3 linked regions of the Schizosaccharomyces pombe genome follow. The gene in region 3 interacts genetically with the main gene of each other region. Each region holds a gene or a part of one and is shown on either strand. Other genes may lie near its edges.

Region 1 (7,544 bases), 5.0 Mb from region 3:
CATTTCATTGTATACCGCATATTCTTATTTTATGAACATTGATATGAATATTCAATGCTCAAACTGTACTTGCACTGGATCATTATATTATCAGGAATATCTTTTTCAGTTATCCTATTTTTTTAATATATTATTAATAAACTAATAAATTGTGCCGTTAATAACACAATACATTTCATGGAATATGCACTAGAATTGTTAGAAAATACAACTTACAGAAAGCAGCCCCTTTTTTTCTTCTTTCCATTGCATGCAGCATCCTATCTTAAATGTGAGTTGATGTATTTTCGAAATACTTCGTCTCCTTTCTTTAATATTTGCCGGTCAAATAAATGTTCGGTTGAGGGGCCGTATTTTTAGACCAAGTCCAGACTCATCGACCCAAAGTAAAAACAGTTATTGAGTAAGGAGGCGTAATTTATAGTAAAATCTAACGCAAATGTGGGACTGAATATTTTGTCTACATTTGTGGAAACATCGAAATTTAGAACATTTCTAAAGTTGCACATGGTTTTAAAGATTTTTTTACGTGTGGTTGAAAAGAATGTATTATTTCATTCGTAAATGATTTTATGGATATTATATTTTGATAGCAGCTTCATGCTTGCTCCGCTCAAAATATCTAATTGAAAGACAGCCATTTTAGTCATAAATGTTGTAGAATCTGCTCAGAGCTTACCAAGTTACTCTCAACGCTATAAGCAGAAGTAAAATGTACACAAAAAGAAATCCCAAGTAAGTATTGCGGTTTCTCAGAGTTGAGATTTTTTTATTTCACGCGCTTAAGAAATCATTTCAAGTTGTAGTTAGGATTAATAGATCTGATAGAAGTATAATCGTTACAAATAGACCGCCGAGGCAAAGCGAGCTTTTTTTTTCAGAAAACTGACAATACTGGAGCCAAATTAAACAAGCGTTTTCTAGTTGCAAGCTTCCTGAATTAGTAAATTTAATTGCTATTACGGCTGCGAATTACATGTAAAAACTTTTAATTAATATTATTTGCGAAGTTGATTCATTTTGTCACTATCAATATCGTCTAATTAAAACAGAAAAAAAATATTTGCCATCGCATACTAGTTCTTCTCTTCCCAAAACAGAGGTTTGGTATTCATAAAATGACTACTGGAATATCCAATATATTAAACTCGGATATTAAACATAAAAAGCAGGGTTCCGGACATTCAATTTCCAAGTGAGTTTGAACTTTATAAATACATACCGTAAAAATACTGGAAATGAAAGTAATTTTAAAATTTAATAAACTACGGTTTTAGTTTTACGGGAATCCTTGCATTCCGAAATAAATTTTGATAATGCCTTTGGAAAAATAATCGGTTTATATAATGACATTAGTGAATCTACAAGCTGTTCCCACTGATTTTATAAGTTTTTTTACAAAATGCTTTCAGTCGTTGGTTTGCTTTATAATTTTATAGAAGTTTGATTATTTAACTATTATACGAAAACAATACCAAATAATGGGTTACCGAAAAATATTTTTTAAACAGCGTGTTCATGAAAATATTGGTATTACATTCAATATCTAGAATGTATTTTATGTTTAAAATGTACAGAAAAATTTCATCCTCGTTGAGCTTTTAAATATTAACAAAACATGTTTTAACAAAATCGACAAAAGTGAATCATAAAATTATATATCATAACATAACGTCCAATTATTCTAAATAAAAAAATCTTTAGATATGAGTTAAAACTTTTTTGATATCTTAACTAATTTAGCTAAATCCTAAGTATGTTAACCAAATAGAGAAGCAAGTATTTCATGACGTAATGGTCATATCGGCCATTTTTAATATCTGTTGTTTTGAAAAACCAAATGTTTTAAGGACTAAAAATTACAGGTAGATATATGAATAAATAGCAAAAAAGAGAAGAGAAAATTTCGGTCAAAGTTGAACTTGAAAAGGGGGTTGGGCAATATAAGTAATCATACAAGGTAATCGTACTACTTTCGCAGTACATAGAGTAAAGAAGAGAGCAAGAAAATTGTGTTACGCAAAGCGGAAGAAAAATCGGTAATACGCAAAAACGTAAAAAAGAAGTCAACAGGAATCCAAAAATTAGGTTTCAAAGTAAGTTGAGGGAAGAAGTAATAAATTCGAGACACCGCAATATAATGGGAAAATCGTCTTTTTTGATATGAAATCAATTTTAATTGAAGCTGCCGCTATTGCAACAACATAAGGGCGTCCCAAGCATTAAGAAGCTGAAAATTTTTACAGCAACAAAGAGTAACACAACAAAACCCTAGTGCTTAAATTAAACAAAAAAAATGGGGAAGACATAGCTCTTTGTCCATCTCAAAAGATAATATAAAAGCTAATATATGCTTAGTATAAAGAGAAAAGCTGCTCCACAATAATAAGAATAAATAAATAAAAAGTAAATGGTTTCAATCTTCTGCATTTTGTGACATGAAAGATTATTAAGAGTTCAATTATTCTCAATCGGAGAATCTGTTTTTTCCAAGTTTTCAACCTCTTCTTCCTTCTCAAATTTTGCGGTAATCTGATGCACTTTTTTATCGATAAACCCGTTATCTGGATAATTAAGTGGAGACTCTGGGCCCGTAAATATTACTAAATCATAAATAAGTCCTCCAGCAATACCACCTCCTATGGTACCGCCCCAAGCACCCCAAGTCCACCACCAATGATACAGGTGAAATGAATGTGGTCCATAGCCAATCCACCATGCAAACATACGAGGTCCCAAGTCACGAGCTGGATTCAGAGTGAAACTTGTTTGATATCCAAGAGCCATACCAATAGCTGCAATAAGCAAACCAACGATAAAAGCAGTCATGCCCTGGGTTGGTGGAGAGTTGGTATCATCTAGAATGGCGAATAAACATCCTACCAAAACGGCTGTTCCAATAAACTCATCGAAAAATGCGTTTCTCCAAGTGACGTATGGTTTTGGATTGGTGTACAAACAACCACCTGTTGCCGGTGTTCTAATATCTTTGCCTCCTTCAAATTCAGTAATTGAACTCCAATGGTAACCATAGGCAAGTGCACCTCCAAAGAATGCACCCCAGATTTGGAAAAAAATGTAGATTGGCACTTTATACCAAGGAAATTTGCGAAATATGGCTAATGAGATAGTCACAGCGGGATTGACATGACCACCACTGATTCCACCAGCTATATAAACGCCAAGCATGCAACCAAATCCCCAAGCAAAAGAAAGGGATTCGAAGCTTCCACCTGCTCCATTAGTGACGGTAGCTTGCAAATTACTGCCTACACCAAACACAACCAAAACCAAAGTGCCCAGGAACTCAGCAAAACCCTCACGAAAAAAGTGTCTAATCTTGCACCAATAGTTGAGATACAGGGTTTCAGTATCGCTTCCCGAGTCTAAACTTTCTTCAGCAATAATTTCATTAGGAGGCATAGTAATATCTTGAGATGAATCTTGTTCAGCTATTGACGGTTTCCTAGAGAAACTAACATTATTTCTTGGGGTCTCTGGTTCAGCATTTTCCGCATGCTCTACCGTTATCGCGGAAGACTTACGCTGGGTTTGGGGTTGCTCCTCAGCAATGGATGGTTGACGGCTGCTTTGAAGCGAGAAACTAACTTTGGGTCTTGAAGCGGCTTGTTCCGCTATGGAAACGGAAGATTTATTGCGCGGCAATTGAGCTTCTTCATCATTAAGCTTGACTCTTGATCCAAAAACAGCACTCTTCATTTTCCGTTTCCAATTGGGCGATCCATCCATACCAGCCAAAGAGACCGAGGAGTTTGCTCTGGAATTTGCTCTGGAATTCACCCTGGAATTTGCTCTAGAACGAGCTTCCTGATTCTTTTGAGATATTTTTTCTACCACAGAGTTACCAAGAACATGTGGCAATGGTCCATTCAAACTCCACACCGGTTTGTTGGGTCTCCTCCCAGCATTCAATTCTTCGTAATAAGGATCAACATAATTTCGACGCGATTGTCCGGATATATCTTCAAGTCTTCCAGCAAGGTACCCACCAAGCCAGGGTTGAGAATCCGAGTCGGCAGTGTTGTCCAGGCCTTTGAGGTTGGGTGAAGAGAACGCAACTTTTAGGGTATTTTTGGGACGCATTTGTCGAGCTTTAGTGGTATTGACTCTTCTTGGCACGTCCGTCGTATTGAAAGTGTCTAATTCAGTTGTGGGACCATCATCATGCACGCTCTCATTATCTGAGGCTGAAGGAGATGATGATGGTGTCGAGAAGCGTAAAGGGACGCTCATTTAGTAGTGAATTAGACGGGACAAATCTTGGCTTTTATGGAAATTTTTTGAATGCACGCGGGTACTGGCGGGAATACCAAAATTAAGGTTTGAAATAGCTTTGGGAATAAGGTGGAGTAAAACAGTGCATTATATACTCATGCAAGTGGTCCAGATAACCGAAGTTAAGCAACCGTCGATGACAACGTGTAGTGGCGGCACAAATTTGGTGACGAATCTTAAGCGCAAATCAATTTATCTACAGAATATTAAGAATATGTGTTATAAATTTCCCTGAATTGGACAAGTTTATACAATGCGTTTGCACACTCGCATAACTGCCGCTTCAACCGTAATCAACAATTGGTCAGCTAGGCGGGTATGCCGGATATTTGCAAATCTTAGAACGCACCGCGCGCGGGGTAGTAGTAATGTAAAGAATGAGATAAAAAAGCAGGAAGGGAACGTTTCTTTTCAATTAAAAATGTCTGTAAAACAATTTGTATCTGACGGACATATAGTACGCCCATACTTGCTTGGACTTGCTAGAAGTAACCCTGGTCTTACTGTTATTGAACATGATCGTGTGATTTACAGGACAGCTTCTGCCCCGGGTTCTGGTGATCTTCCTAAAGTAACTTTAGTGTCTGGTGGTGGTAGTGGGCACGAGCCTACACATGCAGGTTTTGTTGGTGATGGAGCCTTGGACGCTGTAGCTTGTGGAGACATTTTTGCTTCTCCCTCTACTAAACAAATTTACTCTGCCCTCAAAGCTGTTGCTTCTCCTAAGGGAACTTTAATTATTGTCAAGAATTATACAGGCGATATTATTCATTTTGGCCTGGCAGCTGAGAGAGCCAAGGCAGCTGGAATGAACGTTGAGCTTGTTGCCGTAGGAGATGATGTTTCTGTAGGCAAAAAAAGAGGTGCACTCGTAGGAAGAAGAGGTTTAGGAGCCACTGTGCTAGTACACAAAATTGCGGGATCTGCAGCAGCATTAGGATTGGATCTGCATCAAGTTGCTCAAGTGGCCCAATCAGTGATTGACAATGCTGCTACCATAGCAGCTTCATTGGATCACTGCGCCGTTCCCGGTCGCAAATTTGAAACCAACTTGGGTCCAGACGAGTATGAGATTGGCATGGGTATTCATAACGAGCCTGGAACCTTCAAATCATCACCACTTCCATCTATTCCCGAGCTAGTTACAGAGATGCTTTCAATTTTGTTTGGTGAGAAAAACCCGGACAATAGTTTCGTAGAGTTTTCTTCAAAAGACGATGTTATCCTTCTAGTAAACAATATGGGTGGTATGTCCAATTTAGAGTTGGGATATGCTACTGAAGTAGTTTCGGAACAATTAGCCAAACGAGGTATCATTCCTAAAAGAACCATGTCTGGTACGTTTGTAACCGCTCTGAACGGTCCTGGTTTTGGAATTACATTGGTCAATGCTTCTAAGGCTACTCCAGATATTTTCAAATATTTTGACTTGCCAACAACCGCTAGTGGATGGAACGTTTCTTATCATAACGCAAAGGACTGGGAGGTTTTGGCTGACGGCAAGGTGCCAACAGCTCCCGCTTTGGAGCATACCCGTAATGAGAAGCACAGCGGTGTAAAGGCTGACCCAAAGATGTTTACTAAAATTTTAAAAGCTGCCGTTGACGCTATCAATGAATTTGAGCCAAAGACAACTTGGTACGATACGATTGCAGGAGATGGTGATTGTGGAACAACCCTTGTGAATGGTGGAGAGGCCATCACAAAGGCTATTAATGATAAATCGATTCGATTGGATGATGGTGTAAATGGTATTGACGATTTGGCCTATATTGTTGAGGATTCGATGGGAGGTACATCGGGTGGTCTTTACTCGATTTATTTGTCTGCGCTAGCCAAAGGAGTTCATGAGTCAGGCGATTCCGAATTATCCGTGCATACATTTGCGTTTGCAAGCAAGTATGCACTTGACGCTCTTTTCAAATACACTAGAGCCCGTAAAGGATTCCGAACGCTTATTGATGCTATTCAACCATTTGTTGAAACTTTAAATGAGGGTAAGGGACTTGATGCTGCTGCGAAAGCTGCCACTGAAGGTTCTGAACAAACTAGAAAAATGGATGCTGTCGTTGGAAGAGCATCTTATGTTGCTAAAGAAGAACTTCATAAGCTTGATAGTGAGGGAGGATTGCCGGATCCTGGTGCCTTTGCATTGGCCGCTATTTTGAACGCAATTGTTGAGGCAAGCGAACATTAAAGCGTTTTTTATCACTACCTCAGAATTTGGCTCTATGTTAATAATGCACATAGTTAATGTTGGAAAGGCATATCATGTAACCTGAGTTTAAAATTGTTTTGGCTTTCTTTTAAAATTTTCACCATAATTACAAAATGTTTGATTAAATTTTGTATCCACTGGCTTTTTTAGAACTTTCTTTTAAGAATCAATATATTGCGAATAAAAAAGCTTGGATCAAATGATTACTGATGTATTATTTACACTTTTGGTCCTATTGTCTAGTATTAATTTGTAGGAGGCGTTGGAGAACGTGAAAATATTGCAGTAGTTATAGCTTACAATTCGTCAAAAAAAGAGAATTACATGCAGAAATTGTTAAACGAATTTACCTGCCGAAATGCTATGTAGATCTGATCTGTAAAGCGAAAACGAAGTAGACAATCACATGCACTGTATGGTTTTTTTCAAAAGACTGACATGTTACTCGGTCGGCGATCATAAACTGATCATTTAGCCAACCTTTCTGATTCTTAGCACTTGGTAGATGTTTGCTGAATACTAGACGGAAAATTACGTGAAATGTGTTGACAGAGAACGCTATTATCCAATAAACATTTTGGACAAACTATTTTGTCTAAAATGTAATTTTTCTTCAAATAAAGTAAGCGATTAATTTTTTATTATGTTTGTTTTAATGAAGAAATTTGAAATCTAGAAAACCCAAAAAAAAATATCTTGCATGAATTCAGTGTTTCCTTAAGGAGATCCGCACACTTTCAAGTTGTCTCGTTCTGTGTTATGAAACAGCTAGTTAATTATAACCATAAAACTAGACCGTAAATCTTTGTACGAATTCGGAAAAAGGTACGTTTTATTGAAGCAGCTAATGGATGAATTTATAAAGCATTCAGCCTAGTTTTTTCTTTTAAGATTGATAAAAATTTTTGTAATTTCAGAAATTTCTAGTTAGGTAGTATATGACGAATATGGAAATAAATTAGGCCGCATTAAACTTTTGAAATTGTATCCTATAATTACTCTCAATTGAAAATGATAATAGTTGCAGTAG
Region 2 (4,507 bases), on a different chromosome or scaffold from region 3:
TTATTAATGTTTTGGAACATTATTTTGAAATGGGTCATCATGATGCAGCTCAATCTCTACGCATTTACAAAACATTCGTTAATCAAACTGAGGATATCATCAATTATCTGAGTACGGCACGATCTTTAGAATTTGTTACAAAGTTTCCTGTTCCAAATATTAAACATGCACCTATAAGCTTAACTGCATCTTTGGAAGAATACCTCAATGATCCGGATTTTGAAGAAAATCGTAAACAGTATCTTCAGAATAAGTCAGGATCGCCTGTTGAAGAAACCGCTATTCTAAATAGAAAGCCAACTTTGAGAAAGAAGAAAAGCATCCCCAAAAAGCAAAATGAAAGTTCTTCAACTATACAGAAAGAAAACACTGTTCAACAAGAAGCTTCGTCTTCTGAAGAGGAAGCTGTAAAAAGTTTACCGGAAACCCAGAGAACCACTAGCCGTATAGAAACACAAGAAGAAGAAATAAAAGAAGAAGAGATGGAAGGAGAAGAGGAAGAGGAGGAAGAAGAAGTACCAAATTATGAATCGGAAAACGAGCTTGAAGACAAGGTTGGCGATCTCTCTCTTTCTTTAGGCGTTGCTTCTTCATTCGTCGATGAAATGCTTAGGGAGCGAAACAATTTGAGCGCTGAAGGAACGAGTGCTTCACCTTCATTAGATAAAAAATCTGAAAGTACTAATATAGTGCAGCCTATTCCGAGTCACCCGAATGACTCTCTCAACCCTTTTTACAACAGCTCTTCACCAACTTATCACCCACAACCAATCCCCCCTCAATTACAGCAAGTTCAACTCTTGTCCCAGATGGCTGGAAATCAGATGGCAAACATACAATATACAATGAATGGGATGCAACAAACTGGAGCTTCTCCAAACACTGCTTTGAATATTTCCCAAGTTAACATGTATGCTCAAAATAATCCTGTAAATCCTTCAACAACCAATCCTTTTCAAAACTTTTTAAGGCAACCCTCTTATCAAGGAATGCAGTTTGAGCAGCAACAACCGACTACCATACCGTTACAGCCAAATATTCCTGTATTGAATCAGCAGTATCCTGTTATGATTCCTGCCATGGAAGACTCAAGGGGTCCGCTACCGTCCCCTGCTCACATTATGTATCCTGAAGGGTCTCCTGGATTTATTCAACATTCTCCTAATGGGTTCACGCATGGCCATTCGGCTTCCCCAGTTAATATTGGACAAAAGTTGGATGTTCCTGAAAGGCCGATGTCTACACCGTACACCGCATCTAAAAACCCCTTTTCAACGAGGGAATTGGCTGAACCAACTGATTTAGCGAGAAATTCAATTTCGACGGAGTCTAAAAATCCGTTCCGAAGTTAGGTTTGTTTTTGTTGTCAATGCACCCATCATGTCGTTGTATATAATCATGCATAAGTTATTGCTGGCTAGCTAATGACCCATTTATTAATATTATTATACTAACTCGCTCTTTATCCAAGACTTTCTCGATTTATTTCTAGTTTAAAAGAATGCCGATTTGCTGTTTATACCTTCTTTGTACTATCAGTTTTACAAATACCAGAAATTTCTACATTTTTATCAATAGAGCTTAGAAAGTTTTGTAACAATTGTAATTATACATATATAAAATCATGAAACTATTCAAATCTGGTCTCTAACATTTGAAAAATCTAGTTCAGGATGTTGTTTCATGAAATTTTGCAGTACATCTTTTCGTTTTTGTTCATCGGTACGCTTTTGGCTTTGCTCCAACATCATTTTTTCAACTGTAGCTCTTGTTTCTTCATCTAGATCAGATAATTTTGAATTTTCGGGCTCAATTGAGCCTATATCGATTGAGGGATGCCCTTTTATAACACACGACCACCATTCCATTTTATTGGATTTCTCGAGATGGATAACAAGCCTTTCTTGTTCTTCGACAGTCCAGGTGCTTTCATCTAAATTGATCTGTTTTTCGAGTGGACCACTGAGAAGGACTTTTCGTTCTGGGACGTTGATTTGAATTTTGAGATCGTGATTTGACATATCTACCTGGAGGGATTTCGCTCTTGTCCCTTTGGGTACATGGATGACAATATCAACATCGGCTATTGTTTGATCCCACTCGTACTCGGCCTCTTCGAGTTTTACTTGATGCATTCTTAAACCTGCAGCTCAACTCACGCTTTTCGTAATCGGTTGATTACTTTGTAATTTTATTAAATATGTGCTCGTTTTTGGCTAAGCAAATCAAATTCTTTTACGAGCCTAAAAAATGAAGCTAGATTTGATTAATGTATATTTAATTACCGACTTCATAAACCGGAATTTCAAGATTACGAGTTTGTACGCTACGTTAAAGAGCTAACGTTTGATGGTTTGCGGTGCACACAGTGGAGAGTCGTGCAAACTCGCAGGCTGTAACTTTTACTTGTGTTCTGTTACGTTTATTTTACTAACATTCGATTTTTATACAATACTCTAGAGTTAAAGATTTCACTTTTTAAAAAGTAGAATTTTGTTGCGCTAAAAAAAAACTTCAATTTTTGAGGAAGGTGTAACTCAAGTTATGTATTAGGCTTTGCAAATAAACCGAGTTTTAGGAACAATTCAATTTATTATGAAATTTGCTCAAAGCCGTTTATATGGGCTATGGCGCAAATCACAACAAGCATATCATAACATTAAAACATTAACGAACATCGTTATGTAAAATCTACCAGCATCATTATGTTTACGAAGTTATATGTAGCAACGAAAGGTACAACTGTTGCAATCATTCAAAATTTGTGTGGTAGATGCAAAATAAGCATGGGAATTGGGTTTTCATGATTATGATTCCTTTAACAATTGCTGTCGCTTAAATAAACTCGAAAGTCTCATGAATTAATGCAAAATATCAGCGCCTTATTTTAACTCAGTAAATGAACAGAGGGCTCGTTAAAGGTCAAAGGTTAAATTACTTAAATTTTGGACAATGCGAAGATGATTAAGGCACAAAATGATTTAGAGAAGAATACTGGAAGAAAAAATATAAACTATATTTAAAAGTACTATTGAAAAGTTTTGTATAAAGAAATCTTCTGGATTTTCCTTGTTTGCGAAATGGATATACTGCCAACGTATCGGTGCCTTTATTAAGCAGTAAACAAACAAACCCAAGTTCTTCCAACAGCAAACACTTCAAGATGAATAAAGGCCCAAGACATCGTCCAAAATTCTTATCAAAAAAGGGAAAAAAGCTTCGCATAATGGTAGCAGGATCTAGCTACACCAGTTACCAAGCTTGTATCAATAGCTTGTGCAGTAAACAAATACTGGAAGCTGAAACAGAGATAGATCCGCTAAAAGCTCATATTGATAGAATACTGGAAATAAGGGAATTTAATGCTGGTGAGTTATTACGGTTTTAATTTTCGTGTGCTAACTGTAATTAGATATTTTAGAAGATGAGTTCCATGTTGACCTTACGGTCATTGAAGTAAATGGTTTCGGAGATAAAATTGATAATTCAGCTAGGTAATACCAAAAGGTATTTTTCTAAATTAAAGCTAATTTCAATGCATTAGTTTCGAGGTAGTTACTCATTATTTGGAAAGCCAATTCGATCAAGCCTTGATAGAAGAATCTAAAATCAAAAGAAATTCTAAATTTACTGATACGGTACGAAATCTGCAAACAAAGTTTTTCCGTCCTTAACTATTTCAATCAAGTTACTTCCATTACTTGATTTAATGTTGTTAAGTAGAAAACCAAGAGAACACATTGGTTTAAGAATGAGGAATGAAAAAAAAGTTTTCTAACGATATTTTAGCGCGTTGATGCCCTACTTTATTTTATTGCACCCCGTGGACATTGCCTGTCTGAGTTTGATTTGGAAGCCATGAAACGGTTTTCAAAGCGCGTAAACGTAATTCCTGTCATTGGAAACTCCAACGCTTTTACTGAAGAAGAATTAAAGAACTTCAAAGATGTGATAATGAAGGATTTGAAACAATGTAACATAAAGGTATTTGACTTTCCTTGGGATCCTGAGGAGGATGAAGACGAAGTCATTGAGGATAACAAACGACTTTGGGAAAGTGTTCCATTCGCTGTATCTGGAGGGGTATCAGAGGAAGATGAAGAAGGATATCAAAGAATCGTCAAGAAATTCCAATGGGGAACATTCGTAATTGATGATCCTGCACATTCTGATTTTCTTAACTTGAAGACCGTATTGTTTATTTCTCATTTGGATATACTCAAAAGTATAACTAAACAAACCTATTATGAGAATTATCGTACAGAAAAACTGTCCAACGACTCACCTTCGAACACATCATTGTAAGAAATTAACTATGCATAAGCGAGCTAATAAGTTAGGTCATTGCAAAAGCAAAATTCCATAGTTGCAAATGAAGATAAAAGAAGTGTAAATGGTTCTGAGAGAACGGAGACTCGATCTTCGATTGATCAATCAGAAATGCGAACTAATGGTAAGTATATGCATTCTCTCATTTTCGTGCTAATGAACGCAGTCTCCGATTCTA
Region 3 (5,368 bases):
AAGGATTCAAGCCTTTGTATGGATGGAAAACTACTTCAAAGATTATTGACCATGCTTTCTTTTAATGAAATTAAAATCTTATTAAGTAAACTAAGGGTTCTCGCTAGAATGTCCCCTTTTGACAAGGCTACATATGTGGAGCTTTGTCAAAAATATGGCTGCAAAGTTGGCTTTTGCGGTGACGGGGCAAATGACTGTATTGCTTTGAAGCAAGCCGATGTTGGAGTTTCTCTCTCTGATTCCGAGGCATGTGCTGCAGCTTCCTTTGTTAGCAAAAAAAAATCAATTAAGGATGTTTTTAATGTCTTATTGGAGGGCAGATGCTCCTTAATACTTAGCCATCGTTGTTTTCAATATATGGTGTTGTGTGCTATAGTCCAGTTTTCTGGTGTCTTCTTTCTCTATTTAAAAAATTATAACTTTAACGATAACCAATTTTTGTTTATGGATCTGTTAATCATATTTCCACTGTCAGCAGCTATGAGTTACTTCGACCCTGCTCAAAATTTGACAAGCAATCGCCCTAATTCAACATTGTTTGGCAAAGGAAGAGTAAAGGATTTAGGAATTCAATCAGTATTAATATGGCTATCCCATGGCTTGCTGACTTTAATACTACACGAGTTGAACTGGGTTGAATTACCTGAATGGCAACTTGAAAAATCAAATACGAAAAACGTGCTAGTGACTAGCATATTTCTTTTAAGTTCTTTACAATATTTAGGAATTTGTATTGGAATAAACCAAAGTTCCGAGTTTTTGTCACCTATTTGGAAAAAAAGTAAGTGAAAATCCTGTCTTTTGTTTATTAACATCTTATGATATAGAAACTTATGTATGTTTGTGTACTACCATTGGCCTTTGCAATATCTATCTATGTTTTGCAAATGAAAATCACATTATCTCTAGGTGTTTGCAAATCACACGTCTACCGACACTGTATCGTTTCATAATACTTTTTATGGGAGTTATCTCGTGCTGCCTTACGAGTATTCTGAACATGTAAAAAAAACAAAATTAAATATATATATGTTAATCAAAAACTTGCTTTTATGTGCAATTAGGGTAGAAAAAAAAAGGAGTTAAAGAGAGAAACAGGTTTGGGACATTAAGTAAAATATCAATGAATGTTGTATACGACCGGTTAACTTAAATATGCCGTAGCATCTTCCTCTAATTGTTCATTACCCCAAATTGAGCGAGAAGGTGTCCAAATTTGAAGAATATTATCTTCAGCAGCGGTTGCCATTGTCCAATTATAATTAGGACACCAATCCATGTCAATTGTACAAGAAGTATGGCCTCCGTGCATAAAAAGAAGCTCCGGAGGACCGTCTTGAGCTTCCTCAGCAGGCTGATCTTCCCCGATTCTTGAAAGATCCCAAACTAAGGTCCTTCTATCGGCTGAGGTAGAAGCAAGAATAGGCTCTTCATGAGGAGAAAAGCTAATTTTTGTTACAATGTCTTCATGTCCTTCTAATGTATGTAAGCGTTGATTAAGGTTCCGTAAATCCCAAAGTGCAATGGTTTTGTCAGTCGAACAAGTAGCCAAAATAAAGTCGTTATGAGGGTTGAAAGCAACAGAATGAATAGGACCGCTATGGGCATGCACACTTCGAGCTGGCTTTGTGGAAGCATCAGGGCGACGAATATCATGAACATGAAGGTACTGATCATAGGAAACTGAAGCAAGAAGATCCTGGTGCTTATAATGAAAGCGTACATCACTGACCTGTTTTTCATGGCTGCTTATATGCACTTTCAAAACTGACGCTGAATCTGACTCGTTGTAAGCATTCAAATCCCAACAAGAAAGAGTAGCGTCTTGCGATCCAGAAACCAAAGTACCCTTAGAAAGAAAATTCCAACAAACACTAGTACAGGGCTGGGTATGTTTGGTCAATCTATATTTGGGCTTAAGAGGAGACTCACTAGCCGAGCTATAAGATTCGAAGGATTCCTTGTCAAAAACCAACACATCATTATGATAGTTACCCACCGTAGCTACACAAGAATCGTCTTGTGGCATAAGCTTCGCACTACAAACAGACTCAGGATGAGAATAAAGATTTGAGATATTAACACGTAGAGAAGACTCGTCACCCGCAGATGCTCCCTCCATTGTAGTAGGAGGAACAGTCTGATTTAAATAGGGTAATTGAATAGACGCAACAGCTAGTAAGTATTTGCCAACATCAGCACGAACTCCCAGAAACATTTTCTGCTCAGTATATCCATGTTCTGCAAAACTATAACAAAAAATAATGGTAAGTTTTTTGAGTCACATAAACAAGATTAAACATTATGATTCAAATGATTGACTTACATTTGCTGCTCTGGATACCATTGTAGTGACATACAAGGCCATTCCAAAGCTCTAGTAATTATTAAATCGTAAAGGAACGGTGAGTTCTTTTTCCAAATTTTATACTCTGTTTCAGATTAGAAACACATTTTACATTGATCAACTAGAAATTGTATGTTAAAACGTTGCAGACATACCTTCATTGATGCATTTTTCTTGATTTATTCCCTCCTCCGAAGCCTGCGCTTGCTTGGAAGGATGGGGAACAGCTGATACAGCCATTATGTTCTAGTTAAAATGATTGAATCTGCTTTTTGGTGGATGGTGAGTAGACGCGTGCAGCGCTAATGTGCACACTAAGTGTTCTTAAATAGGTGCAGGTTGGTTTATAAATTAAGATTGTTTAGGTTTTATATAATCACAGCCGTATAGATGTTTAAATGGGAAAAAACAATAGAAACTTAATCTTGTCTCATGCTTCGGCTAGCGTCTTTTCATCTTCTCTCTCGACCTGAGATGCGTTTCCACAGTGCTAGAAATTGCAACTTTTAAAGAGACTGTTAATTGTAAAAAGTTGAATTACTAAAAATGATTATGTTTGCTGAACATATGTATACAGAAGTGAGATATAATTTGGGTAGCACAAGCTTCCCGATGGACTGCTATAAGACACAAGATGGAAAGATAAATTTATAGAGCTGAGAGTTAAGAATCTTTAATTTAGATGAGTTTTTTTTTACTTTGCTTTCATGCTAATTTCATCTACTCTAACTTCTGCATGAATCAGTGCGTCAAGAACAGAAACACTTTGAAGCTTTTTTTTAGTCACACAAGGCAACAACCGCTTGAGAAGCAGGATTATTAAAATTGGTAAAAAAATTATGTTCCTCTTAGTTTTAAGGTACATTCAACTTGTGTATCGCCAATAGCAAAACGCAGCCAAAATTTCTGAAGTTCTCCTTTTTTTGAATATTCAATTGAGCGTGAATAAAAAGTATATGATTTAAAATAATGATCTCCCACCTGTTCTGCAATCCTTGGAAAATGCATCAAGTCATACTGAAAACCAAACGAGCAAGAAGCCGAATTCAAGATGCCCTCGTATTCTTGCGTACCCTTAGTAAAAGAAATGAGAAATATATTTAATTTAATTGTTAAAATGAAGACAATCCCGTTTCAATATGTATGCCGTTCTTTACATCAAGAAAAAAGAACTTCGAAGCAAGTCATACCAAACTAAAAGATCGTTGATCTTAAAAAGGAACATTATTAATTTTAGAAACGATGATGAAGAAGCACAAAATTACCTTTCACTTAAATACTTCGTACACAATACATTTGTTTACATCTTTCTCTTATAATAAATCTACCTTAAGACACACACTTTCTCAGTAAGCTGATTAAGAAAAAGCAACGAAGATACTTTATCCATCTTTTATTTACATCTTCGAGACATGACGTTTCGTAATAATTCCCACCTTTAGACTAAACCGTTTCCACCAAATTTGTACCTTTTCTATTATTTTTCTTTATTTTTTACTCTCACATAATGAATTGTTTACTTCTAGGAAGAGGATTCTTGCACAGGTTTCACCCATTTCGCCCAGTCTTGTGTGAAGATTCGGCAAGTGCTGCAACTACTATCACCTCTCAATTTAAGCTGAATTACCGTCAAATCTTTATTGGAAGCTCTCTTGGTTTAGCAGCCGGATTTGCTTTAGGAAAATTGGGCCGTTTATTCATCGTTGCCTGCTCCGCCGTTTTCGCTACCATTGCTGTAAGTGCTTAAGTTTGATTCTTTATTTATATTTAGAGGTTTTAAAAACCTTGTGTTTCGCACTGAAAATCGTATTTATCTTTCATAATACTAACACAATACGTTTATTAGTATATTAACAGTAAAGGTCTGATCCGAATTAATTGGCCCCAGCTGCAGCAACAAGTTATAGGTCCTACGGAGCAGTATACTGGATTTCATTTCCCAAGTTCAGGTAGGTTTAATACTCAATCAACATTTCCTACCATTCGTAATTGGATCTGTACAAACCCCAATTTCAAGCTGAGCTTCTTTTCAGCTATGTATGTTGGATTTGTGTCATCATAAAAGTGGCTGAATTTCACCACAACACATTTCGATTTTGATACATTGTTCAGCCCTCGCACTCCTCTCAATTCCTATGATTCCTTTGAACCCCAACGTTCGTTCTATACTACCAATAGTGAAACATTTTGCTCACGCTCCTGTTCAGAAGCTTACTTTTCATATGCATCTATCTAACTATAATTGAGTTTTCATTCATTAACCAATCAACACGATTTTCTTTGTTTTGGTACCGAATTTAATTATTAAGTAGCTGCACACACTAATGTCTTAGACAGTGGAAGTAACTCAGATATGTCAGCTCCGTGCTCATAACTTTCTAGGTTTAGTTAAAAAGTGACTTACTAGTGCATGCAACAAATCACAGACACCACGCTCACTAGTGTACATATAAAAATGATAACGAACGTAATATAAAGCTTTAATGTAAGAATTCTTTAAAAATATATACATATACCCAAAATATGTAGTTTAAACACCAACTCTCTCCCTTTCCTCTTGGCAATTGGAGTGCCGGTGTTGAAACCACATGAGGTGTAATAAAGTTAAAATAGACAAACACAAGCGATTGTTGAATAGCGCTTGGCATTGTGTCAAACTATGAATAATTTGTGACGCGTTTCACGATCAAACCCATCCCTTCGCCCTTCTAGAGTGAATGCAATAAAAAAACAAAAGTCTTTCAATACAATTAAATTATGCATGTAAACATAGTTTAATCAAGACAGTAACAATAGTAAATCCTCATTTTCGAACAGCTTAGAAAGCTTCGAATGTCATGATTTGTAACTTTTAAATCCTACTCTCTACTTACAGACCAGCATTGCCAGCTTCACAAAGAGTGATGGAACGAACCCATTCACTCTTCATTATCTGTTTTGCTGTCAGGCGGTAAGTTGGGTTGGGATGAAGAATGTTGTACAAAGTGTTTCTGCATCTTGAACGTTCAAGCATTTCGATAG

Evidence for each region. A genetic interaction does not mean that the proteins touch.
Region 1: mutations in prw1 (region 3) and SPOM_SPAC977.17 together harm fitness more than expected from each alone (negative genetic interaction), as found in Schizosaccharomyces pombe (one large-scale study listed by BioGRID).
Region 2: mutations in prw1 (region 3) and nud3 together harm fitness more than expected from each alone (negative genetic interaction), as found in Schizosaccharomyces pombe (one large-scale study listed by BioGRID).

The regions. Positions count from the first base shown.
Region 1 is NC_003424.3:63,853-71,396, reverse strand, and holds SPOM_SPAC977.17 (MIP superfamily protein), read right to left. Parts: upstream 4,718-7,544; 5' UTR 4,255-4,717; coding exon 2,458-4,254; 3' UTR 1,576-2,457; downstream 1-1,575. Other genes in the region: dihydroxyacetone kinase Dak2, read left to right, coding at 4,718-6,493.
Region 2 is NC_003423.3:3,229,149-3,233,655, reverse strand, and holds nud3 (nuclear movement protein nudc), read right to left. Parts: upstream 2,265-4,507; 5' UTR 2,136-2,264; coding exon 1,635-2,135; 3' UTR 1,576-1,634; downstream 1-1,575. Other genes in the region: yap18 (ENTH/VHS domain protein), read left to right, coding at 1-1,352; meiotic septin Spn7, read left to right, coding at 3,164-3,368, 3,413-3,494, 3,545-3,638, 3,790-4,301, 4,341-4,453, 4,496-4,507.
Region 3 is NC_003424.3:5,109,288-5,114,655, forward strand, and holds prw1 (histone chaperone, Clr6 and Rpd3L complex subunit Prw1), read right to left. Parts: upstream 2,596-5,368; 5' UTR 2,588-2,595; coding exon 2,503-2,587; exon of another isoform or gene 2,433-2,502; coding exon 2,327-2,432; exon of another isoform or gene 2,250-2,326; coding exon 1,145-2,249; 3' UTR 1,007-1,144; downstream 1-1,006. Other genes in the region: Ca(2+)/Mn(2+)-transporting P-type ATPase P5 type Cta5, read left to right, coding at 1-781, 828-1,006; fun14 (integral mitochondrial outer membrane (MOM) protein), read left to right, coding at 3,855-4,082, 4,194-4,409; serine/threonine protein kinase Hal4, read right to left, coding at 5,217-5,368. UniProt on the Schizosaccharomyces pombe protein: Has a role in chromatin assembly and chromosome segregation. Involved in the deacetylation of histones.